Nothobranchius furzeri: one gene and its partners. The protein of the gene in region 2 purifies or fractionates together with the protein of the main gene of each other region. This does not show direct contact. Links are inferred from orthologs where the notes say so. Each region holds a gene or a part of one and is shown on either strand. Other genes may lie near its edges. The genes, in order: btbd9, usp25 and kctd10.

Region 1 (3,753 bases), on a different chromosome or scaffold from region 2:
AAAGGAAGGGACAATAACGCAGGATTTAAAAGTTAAAATGATGATCAGGTTTATTTACAACTACAAAACATAAATCTTTCCATCCACAGGTTGGGAATAATAAAACTAATTCTGCCTGTGGGGAATTAAAACAAAAGTACAAATAAGTAGGGATGTCCCACTGGGCAAAGATTACAGGGTTCTGGAAAAAAAATAAGCATCTCCAAAGGTCCAAACTCTAAACTGGGCGGTTAAACCAAACTCAAGGTGATGTTTTAAACTAAACCGAAAACCCACAACACTCTAAATGTAATAAAAGGGAGATCTGCACCACAAAAAAGATGAACTCTAAACCAAAACGTAACAGCTTATCCCAACGCAAGAAGCTGTTAGCGAAAATGCTAACAGTAGCTTTACCAACGTTAAGTTCAAGTTACCAAGTTTAAATAAACCAAAAATACCCAGCAGCAAACAGACCAGCACGGAGGAGAGACTGCTACCACCAAAACAGCTCTCCTGATGTCTGAAAGAAGCTCCTTAATGAAGGGAGAAACTCTACCAGTGATTTTCCACATCTGCGGTAGAGACGATGCAGCGCATCTGACCCCGGAAGTTGGTGTCCGTTGCCGAGAGACGAAGGCGGACAAAACAGGAAAGGAATCTAGTAGCGGACGGACATTTTGCCGGGTCTTCGGTATTTGGTGGAGATGTTAGTGAAGGCGGAGAAGAGGGCGAACTAGAGGGAAAACAGGCAGATTTCTCCTCTATTTACAAACTCCTGTGGATGCAACAAGTGGGCGCGGTGCGTCGACTACCGAATCTGATGTCGACGAATTTTTAGAATCGAGCCGTCGACGTCATTGAAGCTTCGCTACAACCCTAGCTTATACTGAGCCAGGATCCTCTGGAGGTTTCTTCCTGTTAAAAGGAAGTTTTCCTCTCCACTGTAGCCACATGCGTGCTTAGGATGAGGATTGCTGTAAAGACTCTTGACACTAGTCAGTGACTCGATGCAATTTGCTGGTTTCCTTACAGGAAACTTTTTACTGACTGGATTAATGAACTGACCTGTATTGGGATGTTTACTGTGTGAAAGTCCTTGAGACGACTCCTGTCGTGATTTGATGCTGTGCTGTATAAATAAACTTGAATTGCATTGCATCAGGTAAATGTTTATATTATAAAACCTGAAAACAAATCAGGATGAATACAGTTTATCTGTGAAACAATTTTTTTGCTTAACATTTGAAAACAAATCAAACCCTAATATTTATTAGTTAACTTTTACATAAAGTTTGAAAAAAGGATGAGTAGAACAGAAAAGATAATCAGATTCAACATGGTTGGTGAAACTCAAACATCAGATCTTTACTTTCTTAGCTTAACATGCTGCCAATCTGAGAAAAAGAAATTCTCTATTTAACTCAGTTCATAAATTCACAACAGCCTGAACTAATTTTAAGTGGTAAACTGTTGTGTTTGTTTTGCTTTGAGCTTTAACCTCAGCAGCCGGAAGAGTGACCAAAACCACGTGTGATGACTAATCCAGGAATGCAAACACGTAGACTCACCTGAAGTAGTGGCAGCGAGCAGCAAGGATGACCCGGTGAGCCGGGAACCGCTTCCCCTCCACGATGAAGGTGACATCGCTGTACTCCTCTCCCAGCACCAGCGCTCCCAGCTGCTCTGACAGCAGGTGGATGTGATCGATCTCCGAAATGGAGGCCAGCGGCCGCAGGGGATGACTGTTGCTCATGGTCGACATCCAACAGAGTTACAGCTGTCACATAAAAAGCACAGCAACCTCAAACCGGCGTCACAAACAGTAAACAAGTCAAAGAGAAACAACCCGCGAAGGCGTCGCTCTCACAGTTAGCTCATGCTAGATGCTAACCGCAGCGCCAAAAACATAGCGGTTAGGTTAAAACAACAGACTAAAGTACACATGCTCACCGCTGCATTTGAAGTATTTAAACATAAAAAATAATAATAGAGAAGTTGTTTGGAAGCTAGCCGATGCCGGTGTCGTCGCCGACATTTAGCAAACAGCTAATTACCCTTTAGCATCTCTGTCTAACGTCATTCTGCGTCTCCTACTTACCGAACAGATACCATTCACTCCTGTCTTTTGATCAAAGTTAGTACAAAAATACAGCTGGGGCTAAGTTTTCCAATATGGAGAAAGAAATGCACCAAATTCCCGACCCTTCCACCATAACAGCAGCTTGGAAACGGAGTGACGCGGAAACGTCAGCAAACAACTTCCGATTAGTAAAATGTTGCTACATAGCAGCAACAGCGCCACTGTCTGGATCGGAAGGTCATTGTTAATTAAATTAAATTAAATTAAATTAAATTAAATTAAATTAAATTAAATTAAATTAAATTAAATTGAAATAATGTTTAGCTTCACAGAACCTTTACATATATTACATATTTTGCTACACTGTATTTTAGCTGAATATCTCATGTCAAATGGTTGCTAAACTTGGTTATCATTTTTATTATCATATATTATTGACTGTTATTATGAAAATTAACAGTTTTTTGCTGACTCTTTAGTTTTATTTTAGTTGATCATTCAATGACACCAACAGTCTAGCATTTAGTATCCCTCAGTGGGTCCTGACCCCTACTTTGGAAACCACTGAAAAAAAAGTTTCCTTGATTTCTGACCAACATGATCAAATTTGTCATTAAAATAATTCACAAAGGCTTATATTGTCTTTCCGCTACTCTTAAAAATATCCGTGTGCAAAGATGTTTGATAAAAAAATGAAAATGTAGCAAATTTATCAGAAGGAACTTAAAAAGGAAACATAAAAAACAAATACTATACAACTGTGTTTATTAAATATATATTATATTGTACATAATTAGTTAGATAAATATGCAAAGTAAAAAATCTGACAGAAAATAATTAAGATTTATGTGAAACAAACTGATGTGTCTTTATTATGGATGCCATTTTACCAGCAGGTGTCATCATATCAATAACTGAACCATCTGAAGCATTAAGACTTTTACAAGAAAATGAGCATTTAAACAAAACAAAAAAAAAATAAAAGAAAATGTCAAAATATTGCATCTGAATCTGTTAAAAATACAAAATAAGTCTAAAACATTACATGCATAAATACATGTGTATGTGTGTAAGAAGAGGTGAAAAGAAAACATGCATGACTGTAAAAAGCATCTTTAGAGCTGTCACTCATCCTGCGTCTCCGTGACAACAAGTTTCTTCATGAGTTGGATTTTTACATCTCACAGCTGCTCTGCTGAATCACATCCTTCATGACATCTGAACATGTTCCTGTCACGCCCATCGCTTAAAGTAAAAAGTCTAATTAAATATCAAACTGTTACATAATACAGTCCGGGTTAAATACTGATGAGTTACTTTAAAGATGACGCTAAAAGAAAACAAAGCTTTAAAATAAACAAAAACCATGAAAAACATCTTCCATTAACTGATGAGGCTTTGCTATCAGACCAGCAGAGTTTTATTATTTATTATTTAGGTTTTTCTACGACTGAAGCATAGAGGCTGTTGGGATCAGTGGGCGGAGCTTTCACCACGCTGTAAGTGACATCAACGTCAACATTAATCTGCAAAAAAACAAAAATGAGAGGAAAGATGACCTCCTGTGACCTCCCAAAACAACCATGAATTTCTGAGAGAGCTCACCTCCCTGCTGCTCCTGTTGGGTTTCTTGGTGTAGCTGATGGAGGCGTAGGCAGCTTCACCTTCAGCTTCAACCTGCCCAACACACG
Region 2 (3,753 bases):
TCTAGCAAATTCAGAAAACCTTTAGCAAGCACATTGTCAGGACAGCAGATATGGATGATAAAATCACCAAAAATAGGACATAGTCATATTTTAGGATGCAGTCTGCCACAAGATCATAGAAATCATTACGGGAAGTTAGAGTCAGTCTTTGGAGGGCGATAAATTAGCACGACGAGCAGGCGGGGGGAGATGCAGTTCAAATAGGCACAGTTGAAGAGAAGAAAATGACATGGTGAGTGTAAGCTGTTTACAAGGAAAGCTGGATTTTAAAACACAACCAGCCCACCACCTCTGCCCGACGATCTGGGGATATTAAAACAGGAGCAGCCAGGTGGTACCAGCTCCAGCATGGTGCTTGAGTCACCAAACGGACTCACAGATGCACAAAAAACTCAAGTCATGTTGAATAAAAAAATCCCGAAGAATGAAAGTTTTGTTCTGCACAGACCTGGGATTGACCAGACCAAACCGGGTCTGCGGCGGGGCCACAGCACCTGGATCGTGTACAGGCACCGTCTCCTCCAACTCTGAGCCCGTAACTGAGCGTAGATTCTCCCAGCAAACCCCACTCTGGCGAGGTCCTCGAGCCGATTGGCCGTGGCACGGTGCCAGCTCACCCTCAAAGCCGGCCAAGATCACAAGGCAGGGCGCAGAGTAAACCATCAGACGTCTCGGAACCACCGGGTCACAAGCTGGGCCGAATTGGACCAGCCGCTTCTTCAGGGATCCAGGAAGTCCAGCCCGACGTCTCACGCGAAGGCTACCTCGCTTTCCCCGTCTTATACGATGCTTCCTTCTCGAGCTGGGGCGGACAGAGGGCCAACACATCATGGCTTGGGGGGAGAGAGCACACGGGCAGTCCAAACAACAACGCCATCCGTGAGGTTCCCAGCGCGCAGCACCCGCTACATCAACAGGAGGACGAAGCCTCAGCCGCACAGCTCGATCATAAGTCACCAGAGAAGCCACACCATTCAAAAAAAGCATCAGAGACAACAAAATACGCAAAAGCCAATAAAACGCAAGGTTCCATTGCGTAAAGAGGACGAGCAGCTCGCTTCGTGAACCCGCGCGAGCGCCATCTGAACTCCCCCAACATATGTGGGATGGTATTGTATCGGCCCGATACCGGTGAACCCCTAGTGAAAAGATATCAGTTATGTAAAGAACAGGCTAATTCCATGAGGGAATTTATTAGTTTATTTTATGTTGTAACAAATAAACAGGAAATGGCAAAAACCCACTGAAAATGCCCACTGCTGCCCCTAGTGGCCAATATGTGTTAGAGCTTGCCGAAGAAGCACTTCTCCACGTTACAGAGGCGACGTGCTTCTCCCAGCGCTTCTTCTTTTTTGATCATCGTCCCGTCCCATCATTCTCCGGCTGGTGATCAGAAATCACTCGCCATAGTATGATGGGTTGGGACGATGATAATAAAGAACGTGTCCAGCTGTGAAGCAGCTGTGGATCACCGCCAAGCGGCAGGACTGGGGTGGAATTCCAGTTAGCCGTGTTTTGTAAACAAACACATCAGATACATCATAGGTAAGCTGGAATACAATTCACAAATAAAATTAACATTTTAAGAGAAATGTGAACATTTTTGTTAAAGGGAACGACGTTATTTACAAAGTCCCAAAATAAAATTAAATACGCCAGTTAAGGGTGTCGTTTGATTGGGTTTCTTGTTAAAATCTTTACGTATTTAGATCCTCGAGTGCCACGTTGTTTGTTTTTTATCAATAAATGACTAAATATGGCGAACGTGACCGGACCTCCACAGATGGCCAGGGTTTAGGGTAAACTCGCCTTTAGCGCGGACCGTTAGCTAACGCTAGTAAACAAACAGCAGCGCAAAGCTGGGCCTTTAAATTGCTGCTACCACACAGGACTTTAAAGCTTTAGCTCAAGCGTGGAAGGCCAACCATTAGGACATCTAACGCTTTAAAACCAACTCAACTATCCAGCGTCTCAACACAGTGATGCTGTAAATTCTTTGTGTCCTGAAACTCTGAAGCTATGCATTATGCTAAAGTTTGCTAGCTCTGAAGTTATCTTCTGCCAGCATACCTTCTGAGAATGCTGCTGGAGGACATTCTGCTCCACGGTCATGGCCGGTTCGGGGGTAAATGTGAGTCAGGTCCAACTAGGAGCAGCGAAACACAAGCTGCACTCGCTCCTGAAGCGAATCAAAACAAGATGCTACGAAGTCCCCACCTTAACCAGCGACACTACGGGCGCCATGGCAGAGAAACTAGCTCAGCTCGTGAAAACATTGCTCTAGCCCGCCGACGAGCTGGGATCGATTACTTTCGTCTGACTCGACTGCGTCAACGTCACGGGTGAGAAATAGAAATGCAGTTCACCCGTCTGACTGTATTTATCAAATTTTATAATGAGAAAAAACAACCATAATCTGTTTAAAATCAGATAGATGGACCATCATCTTCCACCCGGTAACATCAAAATAGTCCCCAAATTCAATGACCTAGTGTCTTTTGTAACCAAATTCCTGGCAAAGGCAGCTTTCTCCATCAGTGTGTAGGATAACGCCAGGGGTGTGTCCAGGGAGTGGCCTGGGGTGGCACATGCCACCCTTGGAATCTGAATGGCCACCCCATGTGTCACCACACTGAATTCCATTTAAATAGTATTTTCATTGTCCACAAAAGGCTTGGGGTAAAAAAAAGAAGCATAACCATTGGTGTCACCCATGCACAAAGTAGTGCCTCATCTGGGCCACCCCCATTCTAAAAGATCTGGACACGCCACTGGATAACGCGACTGTCTGATGAAGCCAAAGCATCCAAAACACTTAAAAACAGAAAAAACGATCTTCTGTCTCCTGTGACTTTGTCTAGTCCAGCACTTAACTTGAGCGGCATTTTTAAAGAACATGCATTCAGAGGGGCTTATTATTATTATTATTATTAACCTGGTAAATACATTTTTGAAAAGCAGCCTCACCTGGAAGTGTGGAAACAAAAGCCAAAAGCTTTTTATCATTTCCATCAACAAAAAGCAACACAGAAAAGGGATTTTAAGCCTTTAAAGATTGTTTTTCTTGTGCATCTACTGCTGATTTGTTTTTCTATTTTTATTCATTTAAAAGAATAATCCAACAATCACTTCTGTTCCAGACAATCACTGTTTGGAAGTGTGTTTCATTTCTATCAGGGAAGATTTGTTTTTGTGTGGATGTGTCTCACATGAACCAGTGGTTTAGATCAGTTTATTGTCCTTTTTTTATTCACTCTTCAGTCCTCACATTAAACCACACTTTTGGGACACCTCTGCACATTTATCGAATACATGTTAGTTTTCTGGTTGACAAAACAAAAATGCATCACAACTTTTGTCAGAATGACATCAAAAACTTTTAATTGTGAAGAAAACCCCTGAAGTCAGCCTTTCGGAGTCTGGCCTAATTATTCAGCCAGAAAAATCATCCAAATGTTGGGGAGATTATTCGTCTGACTCAAAACCAGGGCGCTCTTCTGATGCTCAGGAATCCATTTTGCTAGAAGTGAAGCCATCAGCAGGAACTGTGTCGATAAAGTAGCACATATAAATATTAATGGACGCATGATGTTGGCCAGGGTGAGCTGCTATGGTGGTGTTCATCAGTAGAGGGCAGTCTTATCCTGTAGAGTCTCTGATGCTGCTGTCCAGCTGGATGTGGGACTCCTCTGTCTGTCAGACGACCAAACACCATCCATCCATCCGTTTCTGGATGTTTACCTTCTCCAGGAC
Region 3 (3,753 bases), on a different chromosome or scaffold from region 2:
GGTTTTGAAGTTAATGTCCACCCCTGTTCTGCATTCCGTATTCTGCGCTTCAGGCTGTGTGTGTGTGTGTGTGTGTGCGTGTGTGTGTGTTTGTGTGTGTGTGTGTGTGTGTGTGTGTGTGTGTGTGTGTGTGTGTGTGTGTGTGTATGTGTGTGTGTGCACGCGCTCCACAGATCTCTCTGAAGAATTCACAACATTGACGGCTTTCAGCAACACTGTGCCACTTCGTGGATTTTCTCTTATTTGTTTTGAAAAAGCCCTTCCTTTCACTTGTTCTGTGTGAAAACGAAGCAGTACAAGTGATAATGCTGCAGGATTTCATAATTGTATCCTTCTCAGCAGCAGCACTGCAGGTGCTCTCCATGTCCAGAATGTGCGTAAGCAAGGTCCTTAGTCAACTTCCCACTAAGTTTTCTTTCATAAATCCCAAAGTTTGCATGGAAAGTTGCTTATGCAATTTTCCGACCCCGTTTTGTGCGTAAGCAAGCTTGATAAATGAGGTCCCTGGGCTTTTGCCCCAGACAGACTCATGGCTGTTTAAACGCTGTTCTGGATGAATCCTTGCTCTGCTGCCACGCTGGATTCGAAGTGGGTGCTGAAAAATGAGGGCAACTTCAGCCAAAGTTTTACAATCAGGAAACAATTCTTCATATGAAATAACCAGAAGTCTACCGGACTCTCTGAAAGATGGAAAGGTTTCCACTTCCCAGATCTAGAAGCACTTAATATCGCGCTCTTATGAACAATGCCGAGTGCATCACAGATGCACTCCGAGCTCCTCTTCAGCGTGCTGTAATGAGCACTGTCAGTAGCAGGATGTGGAGAATGTGTGAGATAATACTCAAATGCACTGATGGAAATCTTTTCTTGATTGATTGCATTACCTCTGTGATGTTCTCTGTGCGCAACATGTAAAATATCTGTGCAAGTGCATGAGCCATTAACAAACGTACACACGGCCAAACAAATAAATAAACAAATAGCCTCTTGTAAAAACAACCATAACGGCTCACCCGTTCGTCGACGGTCAAATATTTTGTCCCAACCCAAATTTACATAAAAAATACAAATACCCTTTTTGAGGTTGCGATGAGTCTCTGCTCTTCTTTAGATGATGTCATGAGAGGCACTTTGCAAAGGGGTTCATATGTTTCTTTGTTCTGAAATGAAAAATAATTTTTAAATTTAAAATAAAAAAAACATAAAGACACATTAAGCCCATTTAAAAAACTTTTTAAACATTATTATTATGCAGTTTAGAATTTATGCCAAGTAAATAAACTTGTTACCTGCAAAGCAGCCGTACATTCATCAGCAAGGCCTTGGACCAGGTAATACTTGGCTTCAGCAAGGAGCTCCTCAGTTTCTCGACGGCTGTCTGGGAGCGGGACAGCTCCGTCTCTAAGGTAGTTAAGGATTGTTCCAAAGTGTTTCCCACAGCGATCAATCAAAATCCAACCTATGAATATGAAATGATGAGCGATTAAGCCTTGTCAAAGGTCAAATCAGCAATGACAAACATCTCTCAAACTTTATATCCATGGCTCACCTTCGCTGTCCGTCAACACTTCCATCCTGCCACTGAACATAGCTTTGAGCATCGTGTCCTGTTTGGTAAGAGTCTGCATTGTAGTATAGTACAGAGCTCCACCCACATTTAGTTTCACATACTTTGAACTGGGGCTGGAGCCCTTGAAGGACGTGGTCCGTGTTGTAGCTGCCGGCACTGCCGAGCTCACCACTCTCTCTCCTGACATCTCTTCCTGGAGCAACAAGAGATAAAATAATGTGACATATGGATCTCAACAAAAAACTCTCATATTCGCACATCAGTCAGACATTATGTTGTGTTTTCACATGATCGGAAACTTTAATTTTGATAAGTGTGATCTTGGTCATCTTGATTATGTTTATTTAGGCCATTTAACCACTGTGGCCTCACTGCTTACAATACAATGTACTGAATATTTCGATTTTTGTTTAAATAAATAAAATAATCTGTGGCATTAATCTAATAATTTTAGATGTCAATAGGGAGGATTAAATGAGCAGAGATGTCTAAATATGAGACTTTTATATCGCATTATTTACAAAAACTATTGGAAATAACTGAACAATTGCTGAAGTTGTGAAAATCGCAAAGAGAACAGCTTTAGATTTTACGAGAAACCCGACGATCGTACTTTACAAAGAACGTTTTATATTTTGTTTGTAAAGCTGATACGTAGTTCTTTTTCTAAAACATTTAACTTTATTGTAATGGCCACTGTGAGCTAGCAAGCAAGTTAGCATTAGCTGATACCGATAGGGTTCACTACCAAATGTCAACAATTACTGTCGAACGAACTCTATAAAATGTCCTTTCATATAATGTAAGTAGCGCAACATGAATTTGCCTTTGTAAATGTAAATACATATTTACCATAGAACCCACAGCAGACTTCGTAAGCGTAGCTTGCCAACGCCAGTCAGCTAACACCTACTTCCTTCCGGTGTTGTGCCCAAAAAAGCACCTCTGCGGCGACAGGGCCCGACACTGATGAAAAGGTTGAATTATTCTTTACTATCAGCATTCTTAGTTTCTAAAGATGGGATTATAATTATACACAAACGGGACGATTATTTTTCACCAGAGTATTGCAAAACTATAACATTCGCATCATTTATCAACATAAATATTTCAACTGTTAAATTAAATATTTTAGGACAATTGTAGAAAAGAAATTCTGAATAACGCTTAAAATGCTTCTTTCCAGAACAGGGTGGTAGGGTACATTTTTCGACACAACACCGATTGTACCGTGAAAATGACGTTATCACAGACCGATTATATTATTTTGTAAATATTATAGAATTTTCAAATAAATATAAATGACAACAGTAATTTAGCAGTACTGTAATTTTCCCATATTTTGTACATTAATTTTGGTTAACGACAAACTAGGAAAACGACACTTCCTTGACTCTGGACATTTCCGCTGACGGAGTAACAGTGAAAACAGTCCCCTCTCCGTAGCCCACCCAACTCAGCAGAGGAAATCTATATTCACCACAAAAAGCCGAAAGTCACCCGTTTTTACTACATAAAAATGAGCTCATTTGGCAAATTTGAGATTTTTAAAATTGTATTAAATCTTTTATTGTCATTTGTTTACGAGCATAAAGGTTGCCCGGAATCATTTCGAGCGGCACAAGGGATTAATGGCTGAAGTCAATGAAGGGATCTCATCTCATTGTTTACATTTCAAAACGGTGTGTTTCTTGCGTTAGAAAAATTGACATCGATACAGGATAATATATTAGCCTAAAACAATGCTATGTATCTTTGAATGTATGTAAAATTTACCTTATAGTTGGCAAGTCGCAAACTAGCTCTTGAGAGCTAACAGTCGCTGCTTCACCCTCCACTGTGTCGTTATTTGCTTCAAAGATGCCAAGTTAGCCCTCTTGTTCTTTTGCCTTCCTCATGTTTGGATGTCACAGACAGCCAAATGATTGAAATAGTATAGCGACAGGTGAGGCTGAAGGCCAAACAACATCTTGCCATCTTCAGACTCAGGTAAATTCATCATTAAGCTCAAACAACTACTTTATGGGATGTAAACATACCGGCTGGAACGCCTTTTTAAATAGCCATCAACACCATCACGCAGACTGCAGAAGCTTCATGGTTTGTATTATTTTATATATTTCTAGGGTGCACAATGTTTAGTGTCCCTCAAAGCTCCAAGTCCGAGTTCCTGGACAAAGCCA

Evidence for each region.
Region 1: the proteins of usp25 (region 2) and btbd9 purify together in Homo sapiens (affinity purification with mass spectrometry; 3 studies listed by BioGRID and IntAct, counting the BioPlex papers as one, with this or other methods). This does not show direct contact. The link is inferred for Nothobranchius furzeri from reciprocal best matches to the Homo sapiens genes USP25 and BTBD9.
Region 3: the proteins of usp25 (region 2) and kctd10 purify together in Homo sapiens (affinity purification with mass spectrometry; 4 studies listed by BioGRID and IntAct, counting the BioPlex papers as one, with this or other methods). This does not show direct contact. The link is inferred for Nothobranchius furzeri from reciprocal best matches to the Homo sapiens genes USP25 and KCTD10.

What each region holds. Positions count from the first base shown.
Region 1 is NC_091742.1:14,670,872-14,674,624, reverse strand, and holds the start of btbd9 (BTB/POZ domain-containing protein 9), read right to left. Parts: upstream 2,222-3,753; 5' UTR 2,081-2,221; intron 1,760-2,080; 5' UTR 1,745-1,759; coding exon 1,551-1,744; intron 1-1,550. Other genes in the region: uncharacterized protein, read right to left, coding at 3,493-3,588, 3,668-3,739.
Region 2 is NC_091750.1:42,789,621-42,793,373, forward strand, and holds the start of usp25 (ubiquitin carboxyl-terminal hydrolase 25), read right to left. Parts: upstream 2,291-3,753; 5' UTR 2,113-2,290; coding exon 2,071-2,112; intron 1-2,070. UniProt on the Homo sapiens protein: Deubiquitinating enzyme that hydrolyzes ubiquitin moieties conjugated to substrates and thus, functions in various biological processes including inflammation and immune response.
Region 3 is NC_091757.1:45,363,580-45,367,332, forward strand, and holds the start of kctd10 (BTB/POZ domain-containing adapter for CUL3-mediated RhoA degradation protein 3), read right to left. Parts: upstream 2,561-3,753; 5' UTR 2,426-2,560; coding exon 2,423-2,425; intron 1,764-2,422; coding exon 1,550-1,763; intron 1,460-1,549; coding exon 1,290-1,459; intron 1,161-1,289; coding exon 1,074-1,160; intron 1-1,073. Other genes in the region: ube3b (ubiquitin-protein ligase E3B), read left to right, coding at 3,705-3,753. UniProt on the Homo sapiens protein: Substrate-specific adapter of a BCR (BTB-CUL3-RBX1) E3 ubiquitin-protein ligase complex. The BCR(BACURD3) E3 ubiquitin ligase complex mediates the ubiquitination of target proteins, leading to their degradation by the proteasome.